2 linked regions of the Xenopus tropicalis genome follow. The protein of the gene in region 2 purifies or fractionates together with the protein of the main gene of each other region. This does not show direct contact. Links are inferred from orthologs where the notes say so. Each region holds a gene or a part of one and is shown on either strand. Other genes may lie near its edges. The genes, in order: magi1 and rapgef2.

Region 1 (7,411 bases), on a different chromosome or scaffold from region 2:
GAAGAACGTGACTGGCCTACATAGAGCGCTGACCTCAACCTATTTAAACCCCAGTGGGATGAATTACAACATCGTTTTGAGCAAGTCCCATTCTCCCAACATCTGTGCCCAACCTCTTTTATGCATATCAATTGCAGCACATCCAACCCAGGGTTGCTACCTGTCCAGTTTTAATAGGAGCTGTGAGGTTCAAAACTGCCTGCCCAGTTTTCCAAAGAAGGAAATCCATACAGGATTCTCCTTGTGTCATCAGACCCATCCCTGAGGTCACAAGTCCCACTACTGTGACATCACCACCCGATCCCCGTGACAACACCGCCTATGCCTTAGCAATGCATATGCCTTCCCACTGGCAATTCACACTATTGCCAGTGGGAAGACATATCAGGGAGATCAGTTGTTTGCAGTAGCAAAGACTTATCACGGGCGACAAATCTCCCCATGGGCCATAAGCCTAAAGGTGGCAACCCTAACCAAACCAACCCAACCCCAAGCTCAAAGATCTATTGGAAAGCCTTCCTAGAATAGTAGAGGCTGTTCTAGCAGCAAAATGAAGACCTTCTTCATAAGCCTAAAGGTGGCAACCCTAACTAACCCAACCCCAAACTCAAACATCTATTGGAAAGCCTTCCTAGAAGAGTAGAGGCCGTTCTAGCAGCAAAATGAGGACCTACTTCATATTAGTACCCTTGGTTTTAGGAATGAGAAGTTGGTCAGGCAAGTGTCCAAATACTTTGGCTATATAGTTTACTATTGAATAAACCAAATAAAATTAGCAAACTCAGTACATGTCATTCATGTCAGTCATTTAATGCCCACCTACTGACAGTTAAACACTATTCCCATACAGGTGAATGCTGGAGTTGCCATAACAGGAGCACAGGTAACCGCAATACAAACACAAACAGACACATTTTGGGGCACAATGAGCAGTCGCAGGGGGTTTGTCCATCTGATTTTTTCCCCCCCAGCCTCCAGTCTTCGTTCCCAGCAGTCAGAAGGTGTCGGAAAGCACTCGGATGGAGCGCAGCTGCACTGGGAAGCAAGAAGGACTTGTGACCCTTTCACACTCTACTTGGTTTTGTTTGTACAGCGGATCCATATTAATTCTTTGGAACCAGAGAGGGAGAGACGTTTGGGGTCACTGACCCTTCCCTATCGCACACCCAGCACTTTGTTTACTTAACCCAAGAGCCAATAATCACAAGCCAACCAAAAAGATTGTTTATTGTCAAGCGACCCATACCCCATAAAACTCAGGAAAGCAAATTTATAAAGGGGAACTAAAGGTTCATATTATTACGCCTTTGTTACTTTTCAATTTCATTTGTTTACACAAGCTTTAACAGCCCTATTATTCTGAATTCTATGTATAATAACGCTGTCACCGGCAGTTTCTATTGAAACAAATGGCAGGACGTTGGGACAAGCACCCAAACTGGGCCCTATGTTCACTGACATCAGGTGGGTACAGGGGCTACTACAGAGGGTGGGCTTCCAAGATTCCATTGGCCGTGAAGTGGGTGGGCTTTGCAAGTAGTGGGTGGGCCTTGCAAGTAGTGGGTGGTGCCTATTAGGGCTACAAAATACTTGTTGCAAGGGTCCAGGTAACAGGTGAAGTAATAACTGCCTCCCCCAGGGGGGGGGGGGAAGAGCCCTCCTTTTACAGTAATATAGGGTCCCATGATTACTGATCGTGGCTCTGCATAAGCCTAAAGGCAATAGTCAACGGGCCGATTAGTAGCCGGCGACCGCTGGCAACTAATCTGAAACCAGAAATGCCTGCAATTCACTTTATTTCATGTGGAAAGGCATCTCTGGCAGATTAGTCGCCTGTGGTAGCCAAGATTTAACCAGGGGCTACTAATCTCCATGTGGGCCATCACCCTAAGGGTGAAGACACACGGAGCTACTAGTAGCAGCTACTTGTCACGGCTACTAAAATAGACAATGCTGAACATTTATTGATAACTGTTTCTACGTGTATTTTACCAGAGGCAATTCTCAGTATTGTCTATGGGAGTATATTTTCTGGAGTTTAGTAGCTGCGAAAAAGTAGCTGCTACTAGTAGCTCTGTGTGTCTTCACCCTAAAAGATTGGGGTTTTTCTCTTACCTCTTGCACTCTCATAACTAGCTTAAACCTCCAAAAGCAGCAGTGCCGTGAAGCAAAACAAACCTTTCAGATAAAGTATTTGATCCTCATTTATAACCCAGTCTGTATCTACTGTAGAATCTCTGCCATAAAGCAAAACAAAACTGCTGGTTTTTTTCCCAGGCAGGTTATGGAAACAATAGCCACGGAGAAACACGTCACTGTGCCAAAGTCACAAAAACTTTTTCTTTTGAATATTACATAATTCTGCGTATTGTTTCCAGGTATGTGCCGACACCTTTGAAGCCCTTTAGCATTTAATGAGGCCTTTCATACAGTCGGGCTAATGGTAAAGCCAGTGACTCCATTCTCACAGATCAGAAAGCCAAGGTGCGCTTAGTGTGTCACGTCTAGAACACAAATATTGACACAGGAATGTTTTCCACCACGCTAATGCGAGCACAATACGACCCAACATTTATATATAAGCAACGCGCGCAATAAACCGAATCACATGGGGCTGCTGGGCGAATGAATGCAGGCGTGAATGTGAATATGAACAATATCCAAATGCATTGATTGGCTTCAGAACACTAGTTCTCACTAAAATAACAGGAAAAAAGGTAATTTTATAAATAGCAGGTTTTACTGGAAATATCAGCAATGATAAATCTAAGGGAGATTCCCCAAACGCATTCCACTATATTCCAGCGGAACGACTTCTACGCTACATTATTCATAGAGTGCGCCGAGTGCCTTATTGCCCCCGAGGTGATACATTGTATCCGTGTGTATAAGCAAACACGAGGCTGTTACCAGGATCTAATACAAGGGTACAGGGTAGGAATGTTATTATCCAGTGGCCGGGGGGGCAAATTTAATTCCAATAGCCGACCGGCTAACTGGGCAGAACTTGATGATATACAGGACCTTATCAGCACACAGAGTGCCATGTTCTGCAAATAGTACTCCTGCCCACGGTCAGGGGGGGTTGGAATAGAATGGAAATATAACCTGATAATACCGATAGGGGGACGTCCAACTACAAATCCCATCAGCCACTGAGGCTTCAGGTGTTAGTGGGAGTTATGACAGCTGGAGGGCCACAGGGTCTGACTAGGGTCCCTGAACTCCTTCCTATGTAAACAAAATAGTGCGTGTGTATATCACCATGACAAACACGTACGATATATCTGGTCACGTGGCCGGCTGAAGGCAAGAGGGTGGCTAGTGGAAGAGAAAGTACAAGCACATTGATAGTGACTAGCTGACGGTCTCTAACGTAAACATGTTGTTGGCCAGCAGGCCGCCAGTTAATGAGTGAATGGCCAACTGATAAGGAGTTTGCGGCCTAAAGAAGATGGGTTAGTGGCCAGTTTGTCAAGTGATTATTTAACAACCAGGTGACCAGCTAACAGCTAGGCAGCAAGTAGCCAGGAGGCTATCACTAAGCTAGTAAGAGGCCACTTGATGACTAGTTGCCAGGACACAAATGACAAGCTCATGTAAACAATGTGTGATTAGGTAAGTAATGACTATGTAATAACAACTGCTAATTATATAGTGATAAATTAATACTTATTGACGTGACAAGCCAGATGGTCAGTTGCTGGCCAGCCAAGTAATAAGGTGACCAATGGAACAGCGAGTTAGCAGGTGGCTCTGGCCGATGAAAAGCGACCCAGGGACTAGTGTGCAGTTGGGGGATAGGTAGCCAGAAACTGGCAAAAGGCTAGGAGACCAATTGGTGGCTAGGAGACCAATTGGTGGCTAAGTGACCAGGCAATGGCCACATAGTGACCAGTCAATTGCCACATAGGGCGCAGGTTGCCAACTGAGCAGGTGAAAGAAGTAGCCCAACAGCTAAACAGGTAGCCCAACAGCTAAACACGTAGCCCAACAGCTAAACAGGTAGCCCAGTGACCAGCTAAACAGGTAGCCCAGTGACCAGCTAAACAGGTAGCCCAGTGACCAGCTAAACAGGTAGCCCAGTGACCAGCTAAACAGGTAGCCCAGTGACCAGCTAACCAGGTGACCCCTAGTGGCCCCTCCCCCTTACCTTGTCTGACAGCAGTGATGGGGACAGGCTGCTTGCTGTTCCGGACCAGTTCCAGTACATCGTATCGCGGTAATCCAGAGACGGGCACCCCGGCCACCTCCAGCAGTAACTCCCCCTCGGCCAGCTCGCCATCGCTGCACCTCAGCCCCTCAGCCGCCCCCCCCAGGTACAGGAACTCCCCATCCTCCGCGCCCCCCAGCACCGGCAGCCCCGGCTCCCCCGGCTCCCCCACACAGCTCACAGCGCAGCGGTGCACTCGGCTGCTCCAGTGGTTCTTCTTCTGAATGACTTTGGCCATGCTGAGCCCCCGGCAGCCCCCCGGCTGCACTCACACTGCCGCCCCCCGGTCACATTCAAGCCATCCCAAGGCAAACTTTGTATCCCGGCAGCCCCCGCCTTTATCCTCTCATACTGAGCCCACAAAGTTTCCCTCTGGCCGGGAAGGAGGCAGCCGGGAAGGGGGCAGCGCCGGCCGCTTCCTGCTCTCACTTCCTCACTCTCCGGGAGACACTGATACAAAGTATCCGCTCTCTTCCCATTCCATCCCGGGCAGGGCAGCCTCCGAGCCGAGCCGCGCCGCGCATGCGCAACACTCACCTTCCCTCCCCTCCAGCGCTCAGTAAGAATCCCAACCTGTGGCTCTGGCTGGGCAGGAACTGCAACTCCCAGGATCCCCTTACGGCCAGCTCTGGGCGGAGCAGGAAAGCTACTCATTATAGCGCACCTTAATCTATTTTGGGGGTTGGTAATTTCTTCTGATTGACAAAGAACAGCAAAGAGAAACCTTAACTCTGGGATATGCGGTCCCCAGCCTTCCAGCTACTGAACTACAACTCCCACTTCGGCTTTAAATAGAGCTCAGTCACAGATTATAATTTCCAGACATAGAGCAGCAGCTTGTTGTTTTCTTGTGATTTAAGTTGGACTGGGGCTGTGGGATAGCAGGTATAGTAGGGAGAGATGGTGCCTATAGTAGCAATGGGGGGATAATAGCCTCTGGGAAGGGACTGGGGCTGTGGGATAGCAGGTATAGTAGGGAGAGATGGTGCCTATAGTAGCAGTGGGATAATAGCCTCTGGGAAGGGACTGGGGCTGTGGGATAGCAGGTATAGTAGGGAGAGACGGTGCCTATAGTAGCAGTGGGGGGATAATAGCCTCTGGGAAGGGACTGGGGCTGTGGGATAGCAGGTATAGTAGGGAGAGATGGTGCCTAAAGTAGCAGTGGGGGGATAATAGCCTCTGGGAAGGGACTGGGGCTGTGGGATAGCAGGTATAGTAGGGAGAGATGGTGCCTATAGTAGCAGTGGGGGGATAATAGCCTCTGGGAAGGGACTGGGGCTGTGGGATAGCAGGTATAGTAGGGAGAGATGGTGCCTATAGTAGCAGTGGGGGGATAATAGCCTCTGGGAAGGGACTGGGGGCTGTGGGATAGCAGGTATAGTAGGGAGAGATGGTGCCTATAGTAGCAGTGGGGGGATAATAGCCTCTGGGAAGGGACTGGGGCTGTGGGATAGCAGGTATAGTAGGGAGAGATGGTGCCTATAGTAGCAGTGGGGGGATAATAGCCTCTGGGAAGGGACTGGGGCTGTGGGATAGCAGGTATAGTAGGGAGAGATGGTGCCTATAGTAGCAGTGGGGGGATAATAGCCTCTGGGAAGGGACTGGGGCTGTGGGATAGCAGGTATAGTAGGGAGAGATGGTGCCTATAGTAGCAGTGGGGGGATAATAGCCTCTGGGAAGGGACTGGGGGCTGTGGGATAGCAGGTATAGTAGGGAGAGATGGTGCCTATAGTAGCAGTGGGGGGATAATAGCCTCTGGGAAGGGACTGGGGCTGTGGGATAGCAGGTATAGTAGGGAGAGATGGTGCCTATAGTAGCAGTGGGGGGATAATAGCCTCTGGGAAGGGACTGGGGCTGTGGGATAGCAGGTATAGTAGGGAGAGATGGTGCCTATAGTAGCAGTGGGGGGATAATAGCCTCTGGGAAGGGACTGGGGCTGTGGGATAGCAGGTATAGTAGGGAGAGATGGTGCCTATAGTAGCAGTGGGGGGATACTAGCCTCTGGGAAGGGACTGGGGCTATGGGATAGCAGGTATAGTAGGGAGAGATGGTGCCTATAGTAGCAGTGGGGGGATAATAGCCTCTGGGAAGGGACTGGGGCTGTGGGATAGCAGGTATAGTAGGGAGAGATGGTGCCTATAGTAGCAGTGGGGGGATAATAGCCTCTGGGAAGGGACTGGGGCTGTGGGATAGCAGGTATAGTAGGGAGAGATGGTGCCTATAGTAGCAGTGGGGGGATAATAGCCTCTGGGAAGGGACTGGGGCTGTGGGATAGCAGGTATAGTAGGGAGAGATGGTGCCTATAGTAGCAGTGGGATAATAGCCTCTGGGAAGGGACTGGGGCTGTGGGATAGCAGGTATAGTAGGGAGAGATGGTGCCTATAGTAGCAGTGGGATAATAGCCTCTGGGAAGGGACTGGGGCTGTGGGATAGCAGGTATAGTAGGGAGAGATGGTGCCTATAGTAGCAGTGGGGGGATAATAGCCTCTGGGAAGGGACTGGGGCTGTGGGATAGCAGGTATAGTAGGGAGAGATGGTGCCTATAGTAGCAGTGGGGGATAATAGCCTCTGGGAAGGGACTGGGGCTGTGGGATAGCAGGTATAGTAGGGAGAGATGGTGCCTATAGTAGCAGTGGGGGGATAATAGCCTCTGGGAAGGGACTGGGGCTGTGGGATAGCAGGTATAGTAGGGAGAGATGGTGCCTATAGTAGCAGTGGCGGATAATAGCCTCTGGGAAGGGACTGGGGCTGTGGGATAGCAGGTATAGTAGGGAGAGATGGTGCCTATAGTAGCAGTGGGGGGATAATAGCCTCTGGGAAGGGACTGGGGCTGTGGGATAGCAGGTATAGTAGGGAGAGATGGTGCCTATAGTAGCAGTGGGGGGATAATAGCCTCTGGGAAGGGACTGTGGCTGTGGGATAGCAGGTATAGTAGGGAGAGATGGTGCCTATAGTAGCAGTGGGGGGATAATAGCCTCTGGGAAGGGACTGGGGCTGTGGTATAAGAGGTGAAGCAGTTGGGATAGTAGCAGGTTACACTATTACACTTTATATCAGTATATCAAGCCCCCGTAGGTGGACTATACCATCCCACTTTCCAGGGTCGGACTGGGCCAGTGGAAAAAAACCCAGTGGGCCCCACTGGCCAAGCCCGATCCCTGCTGGGCACTCCCCCAGGCTGCTGATCTCCCTCCCCCA
Region 2 (7,401 bases):
CCAAAAAAACATACAAAATATCAATCATGGGTAAATACTCCTGGCCATACAAACCAACGCCTTGACATACAGACCTTAATGTATTATTTAGGAACAGCACTTCAGCATCTCAGTCTTGTTCTATTTTATTACACAGAGTTAATAAATAAATAAATAAGTAACACCAACCAACTTTACAGAGTGGCATGCAGATATTACAGAAATGCAAACAAAATTACCTTATACATTCTTTCTACAGTGTATGTTTGGTCAACAGAGGATTATATAAATCCAGGGAATTATGCGCAGACATATTGCTGATAATCTTATTTAAAGCAGTGCAGCTTATGAAAGTAAAGGCTATGATTATGGGGAAAAAAGGCTGTCTCCTTCTGAAACACCCACATACAGTATTTAAGAAATCAATTAATTGCACTCTTGTTCCTAAACCCTGTAGTAAAAAACAGCTGCTACTACTTGCCACAATCTACTGAATGGATCATTCAAATAAAGAATCAGTAAAATTAAATAAATAAGGGGGGAAGGGGTTTAAACAAAGTGAGTATTTAATATTTTATATAGGAACTAAAGTAGAGTCTGCAGGAACATTTCCAAAAATAAAGTACCAACAAATAAAACAGACTGTTACAGTCAGACCTCACTAAAGGACGACCAATAAATCAAGTCAACGATTACCGGGAAGTCATAAAAAACAATATCTGAAGAGCTGTCATCTGACTAAAAGGGGTAAATGCAGCACATTTTTATAGGCAGGAAAACAGTATATATTGCTGAAAAACATATGTTCTTGTGTCCTCACTAAAAAACTAAGGTTGTGAATTCTAAAAATTACCATGAATGTTTATTGTGCCAAATAAACTAGGTTTGAACATAACATAACAAAAACATATTCCGAATAGTCTTTCTGCATGAAAACGTTGGTTTGGTGATTCAATCAAATACAGAACATGGGTTATTTATCTCACAGAATCAGCAGATGCTCTGTAGTAAAAAGATTTTTTGGCACTCTAGCTCCCAGTGCAATAATATAACAGCTCATTAGAATGAGCTCCTCTTCCCACCTCTGGGTTGCCAGTGTAGTCATATAATGAATAGAGGTTTGTTATGTAGAATAATTAACTGGGAGTTTGACTACATAACTGCCTTTCCTCCCACAGTGATTAGGAAGGCAGTAGATGGATGGGCACAACACTTTGCTTGGTACATTTCTGGTGTACCCCAGGCAGCTGTGAGTGGGGTCACAATGTGCTTCCTGCCACTATACCTTTCTGTAAATGAGCAGCTGTTACTTTATTGCACAGAATATCATAACTATAATAAGGTAATAGTAAAATTAAGGAATCAAGATGTGTACTGCCATCTCTGACACTGAAACAGTCATACTCAGTTGGTCGTTTCCAAACCTGTCCTCCCTCTCCCCTACCCCCTCAAAACAGTGCCTGTTCTCAGAATATCCACATGCAGCAGAAGCACAAGTGGACCTGTCAGATTCACCCATCCATTTGGTTACTCCTGCTGAGCCCTTGAGAGAATATCCTGAGATCATATACTGGCAATGTGTCCTAAGGAAAGGATTAGAAGCACAAAGCCACCACGCCTTATTCAGCACCTACAAGGTAAAGGTGCCCTGAAGCAAAGAGACTGAAGGAGAGAAGGCATCAGACAAGAAGTTTCCCATTTACTGTCACATAAATAGATATGGATTTCATTTTCTATTACATAGCAGATTTGTTTTTAATGTATTCATGTCTTTTTGTTTTTTTTTTTTTAAATATTACATTACTCTCCATTGAACAGTAATCTTAAGGTGGCCATACAGGGGGAGATTTAAGCTGCCAATTCATTCCCTTTAGAACTAGTCAGCAGCTGATCTGCTGGTGTATGGGGCCAAAACCCAGTCACATATTAATTGGGCAGGTTTAAAAACCCCACCCTGCATTTACCACTGTGGTGAGAAGGATATTGCCTTTGCCAAATGGGTGGATTTTTCCAATTTCGGACAAGCTTAAAAATGGACAAGCTTTAGATAAATGAGGATTGAGCCAGCTGTGAGAGTAGCTACTGCACTAAACCTGAATCTTAAGAAATCATATGATAAACTAAAACGGGAAGGAAACCAATATGACACAAGGAAGTCCACTTCAAACGTTCAAGCAGTAAACATATACACTTTACAAAAGGTAAATATAAAGCTTAATTCATCTGCTGTTACTCAGCATTAGAGAATATTTCCTGTATACATAGGAGCAATTTATTTAAATGACTAAATCCCTTATGCCCATGGATAGCAAAGTCCAACAGGAGTGAAACAGGACTTCTAGTTCCCTTGGCAAGTTACTGTTTAGCAGAGACCTGCTGGAAGCCTATTGCCTTTACTCTAAGCTGCTCAACATTGTACCAAAGCGTGTTCCTTAGAACCAGCTACTATACACAGGGTCACATCAGGGGACTAAGTTACACTTGCAGACCTGACCTTCAGGATACAGTTCCTGTTACCACATCAGCACACTATATGTATTACTGCATCACACCAGCTTGTACTAGATAAAATATTAACCTTTGTATTATACACTGTATACAGTCTCTGACACAGACATTTTGCTTTTAAAAGGGCTCAAAGCAACAATTCACCATTAACAGATAAACCTTAAGGTCATGAAAAAAGTTTTTGTTTCGCCTAAGAGGTGTGTGACCAATTACACCGGCCCCTAACAAGGATTTTTTTTTTTTCTTTCTTTAAATTCCAGCTTGACAAGGCAGAGAGAATGCTGTCATTGGAATCAGATTACATGCAGCCCAGAGAAATGCATACAACAAGCAACCTTGTGACAAGTGATGTCATGTGAAATCTAGCCATGAAGCCTGCTGGAAGTGCCAGCGCTGGCACCCTGCATTATTTATGCCATAGTGTTACTCCTTCAGGGAGGAGAGTAGCGTTAATGAGGTGAGGGCAAGACTACACCATGCTTTCTGTAGCACAAGCACTAGTAAATCCACAAGCTGGCAGGAACAGACTGTAAAATGAATGTATAAACCAGGTTTTGAAAATATTGTCCAATTTATTGGGAAACAGTCATCCTGAATTATGTTCCGCACATTATGGACTTCAACTTCTACCCAGAACTCTCTAAATATTCAGGCACAAGCCATTTAGCAGGGTGGGTGTGTGTTAATTATCTAGCTGTGGTTGGACTACAACTACCAGAATTCCCTGCTAGACCTCCTGGAGTACTAGTTCATAAAAGTAGTGAGGCACTGGCTAAAGCAAAAAACAATAAAGGGAAACACAGCACATTACCTATTATCATAGCTACAGCGCCAAGAAGTTAGTTAGGGCTATATAATTAGATAAAAGCTAATAAAATCTGTAACATTAACAATTGTGGGTCACATAATGAAAGAGAAGAGGGTAATTTATTTATTATATTTCGCTTGTTCAGCTTTGTTGCTGTGAATGCAAGCCCATTCCCTGTTCTATCTTTGTTGTCAGGGGCAGCCACAAAGAAAGTGTTTCACTAGTTCCCCTTTGCAATAGTAGTTGCAAATGACATACTTTCCATTCAGAAAGGGAGCATGCCCAACTGGTTGCCCTGAAACTGCTACTGAACTACAATTCCCTGTATCACATGACCGTATCAGACGATGCTTTTATATGTTAGTAGCAGCTACTTACCACGGCTACAAAAATAGACAAAGCTAAACATTTACTGATGATTTACGTGTTTTAGCAGAGGCAGTTCTCAGTATGGTCTATGGCAGGGTATTTTCTGGTGGTTAGTAGCCGTGACAAGTAGCTGCTACCAAGTAGCTCCATGTGTCTTTGCTCTAAGTGCAGTGGCCCTACTCATTTCCCGAACTGTCAACACACAGCGAAACTCCACACCCTGCTTGAATACCTTTACATACTACAAGGGTCCCCATGTGCCAAACCAACACCAACGCAATAAAAGGAGATTCCCTGATCACTGCAACTGGGTTTTTATGTACTGCTTAAATGAATGAACTGGGTGTCATTGCTGGTAAGGAAACTATAGCATTTGCACTGCTTTCCAGACATTTGCTGCAGATGAAGAAAAGTGATGTCTGAACTACTCAAACTAAACATAAGTTGCTGCAACTTTGTCTCACTCTTCAAAGCAGATTTAACAGCTCAGTGTGAACTGACCCATCCAATCCCTATAGACAGAAACCTAGTAGACAGGCCTAAGGGTACTTTAGTAGCTACTCAGTGGCACTGGGGCAGGAAACTTCCCATGGTGCCAAGCTTCTCACACACCATCACCCAGTCTGTGCCCATACCTGTGCGCTTCTGTCAGCCGGGGGCTTCATCACAGCCTGCCTGAAACTGTTATCCACATAGGACGCCATGGTTGCGCTCCGCCGATGTTTAGCAGGAGGATGGTGCCCCCCCTTGGGAGGCTGAAGGCCAGCCGTGCTCCGCCTTGTTCGGATGCTCAGTGCAGAAACTCTCACTCCTCCCAGCGACACAAAGTACGAGCCAGGGGTACTCCGGGCAACATTAACCCCACGTCGCTTCCCAGCGCTCTCTCTGTGCCCACAAAAGTAAATCCAGAGCCAACAAAGGAAAAAGGCAAATCCGAAGCTGTCACTTATGTGTCGGGCAGAGGGCGGCAGCCCCCAGGTACCCACACAGGGGACTCACACTTAGTGCTGCAGCCATGGTGAGAGGGGCACACACTAGCGGCGGCAGCAGCAGCAGCATCACAGGGCAGGAAGAGGGTGTGGAAGTAAGAGGTCTGCACCCTCCTCCTCCTCCTTCCCCTTCCTGTACTCCTTGCACTGATTCTCGCCAGCTCTCTGCTTCCCCCTGGCGGCTGTCTGGGCCCGTCTGCTCTTTATTTTAGGCTTTTCTTATCTCATTTATAGGAAATTTGCTGCTGGAGACCCCCCCCTCCCACACACACACACACACACACAGACACGGTGCTTTATTTATTCTGTTGCGTGGGAATTGGGCAGCTTGAAGCATATACACGGGGCCGCAGCTATTATGTATTACATGTTAACCATGTTCCATGTAGCCTGCATTACTACAATATGTAAGTGCGAGTGGCTTATGTGTCGTTTTGATGGGTTTGTATGGTTCCTAAAGGACATAAACCCATTATAAAACCATTTCTAGCAACTCTTTACCGTGACACACATGGGAATTGCACTGTAATGGGCATAATGTGCCACACAACATTTATGACACGATTAATGGTCATAGGTATAACAATGCATTTCATAGTGAGAGCAGGCAGTGTAAATGCTATTAGTAAAGCAGAGACATTACCTGGGATATAAACAACCCATGTCAGACTTTTGGCAGCCATTTCATATAAACAGTATGGGACTGGGACCCCAGGGGCCCACGTGAAAACCTTGGACCCTAGCTTCACTCTCCAAACTATTTTTCCTCCTTTCCTCACCCAACCTCTTTATTCTCCTAGTCTCTTTAATTTACATGCTAGCATCTATTCTTCCATCTATTTCTACTCTTTCTTCCCATTCAAAAATAGGGAAAAACCATGAAACAGGCCAAATGGTCAAGAGCAGGAGGGCCCACTGACACCTGGGCCCACCGGGAGGTTTCCTGGTATACTGGTGGGCCAGTCTAACACTGCATATAAAGCAGCCTTCATACCTAAATCTCACCTCAATAGCTATTCGGTAATAGATGGAGATTGTCTGTCCTAAACCAGTGTCTTGAGGGCCAAAACTTTACAACAAAAAGCAGCCATATGTTATAAAGTATACAGGATACAGGTCTTCAGGTCACTGTCAGCGCTTGGTACACTTTAGTTACATGCTCATGGCAGAATGATGCCCAGCTGCTATGCCTCAGTTTCAAGGGGAGTTATTTTACCCCATGTTGATATGCCAGTGAGAGAGGCTTATTTATAAAGGAACTGCAGCTGCAGAACTTGTGTCACTTACATGGCCCTTGTGCATGGGGCACACACTTAAAGGGACATTTAAAGTATACTTTGATACACTGTGCTGGCAAATACTGCAACATTATAAGAAAAGCGTTCCTCAATATAATCTTGCAAAGAATTTTGGGATTTATTATCTACAGTACCTACTATGATTTAAAGATTTAGAGAAATCAATTTACCCGAGGGACAAGGCTCAAATCCAATATTGGATGGGTGTGATGTTTAGGCCCTCAGGCAGCATTGCAATTCTGTAGTGGAAATCAGTGCCTGGGCTCAGAAATACTTCCAAAAACAAAAGGTTAAAACTCTACCATGCAACAAGAAAACATATTATTATAAGGAATATGTTGGTACTTTATAAATACATGTTAATAATTATAATTTATAAACATGATCCAGAAACATTGTGTATTTCTCTTGGCCAAAGCTCATTTAACATGGACTGAGGAAAACCGTTCTTTGGTCTGACGAATCAAAATTTGAAATTCTTTTTGGAAATCGTGGTTGCCATGTCCTCTCGGCTAAAGTGGAGAATGACCATCCAGCTTGTTATCAGCACACAGTTCAAAATCCACTATCGGTGATGCTATTGGGGTGCACTAGTGCACATAGTACAGCTTGCACACAGGGAAAGGCACCATTAATGCTGAGCAATACATGCAGGTTTTAGCGCAACATATTCTGCCATCCAGGAAAAGCCATTATCAGGGAAGGCCTTGCTTATTTCAGCAAAACAACATAACGTGTTACAACAGCATGGTCCTGTATTAAAAAAGTTCGGTGCTAAAGTGGTCCCCTGTCTGCAGCCCAGACCTGTCACCCATTGAAAACATTTGGCGCATTATGAAACTAAGAAAATGACAACAGAGAGACCAAACTGCTGAGCAGGTGAAATCCTATTTCAATCAAGAATGGGACAACATTTCACTCTCAAAAACTACAGAAATTGTTCTCCTCATTTTCCAAAGTGTTACAGAGTGTTGTTAAAAGAAGAAAAGATGTAACACAGTGAGAAACATGGCCTATGCCCAACTTTTTGGAACCTGTTGCGGGCATCAAATTCAAAATAAGCAGATATTTTTCTGAAAACAATAACATTTCTTAGTTTCAACATTGGATATATTGTATTTGTAATATGTGCAAGTGAGTTTAAATGATTTGCAAATTATCCCATTCTTGTTTTTTTTATATTTCACACAGCATCCTAACTTTTGTGTTTATTTAGACATTTTTGAAAGTCCAAATTTCTGTATAAGCCTAACTGAATGAGCTTGCAAAAAATGTGTTTTTTTCATTCTGATATAGGTTAATAGCTCTTTGTCAAAGGCCTTGTGGCTTTTACCAGGTGAACACTTTTGTAGGGCTCGCTAGGGGCTCCCATGCATAACTACTATGCCTACATATTTGGACCTGGTTAGGAGGAAACATATAATTATATTTGGGAATGTAATAGTAAAGC

What was found.
Region 1: the proteins of rapgef2 (region 2) and magi1 purify together in Homo sapiens (co-immunoprecipitation; 3 studies listed by BioGRID and IntAct, with this or other methods). This does not show direct contact. The link is inferred for Xenopus tropicalis from reciprocal best matches to the Homo sapiens genes RAPGEF2 and MAGI1.

The regions. Positions count from the first base shown.
Region 1 is NC_030680.2:143,758,491-143,765,901, reverse strand, and holds the start of magi1 (membrane-associated guanylate kinase, WW and PDZ domain-containing protein 1), read right to left. Parts: upstream 4,728-7,411; 5' UTR 4,452-4,727; coding exon 4,154-4,451; intron 1-4,153. UniProt on the Homo sapiens protein: Plays a role in coupling actin fibers to cell junctions in endothelial cells, via its interaction with AMOTL2 and CDH5. May regulate acid-induced ASIC3 currents by modulating its expression at the cell surface.
Region 2 is NC_030677.2:52,811,099-52,818,499, forward strand, and holds the start of rapgef2 (rap guanine nucleotide exchange factor 2), read right to left. Parts: upstream 4,732-7,401; 5' UTR 4,369-4,731; coding exon 4,300-4,368; intron 1-4,299. UniProt on the Homo sapiens protein: Functions as a guanine nucleotide exchange factor (GEF), which activates Rap and Ras family of small GTPases by exchanging bound GDP for free GTP in a cAMP-dependent manner.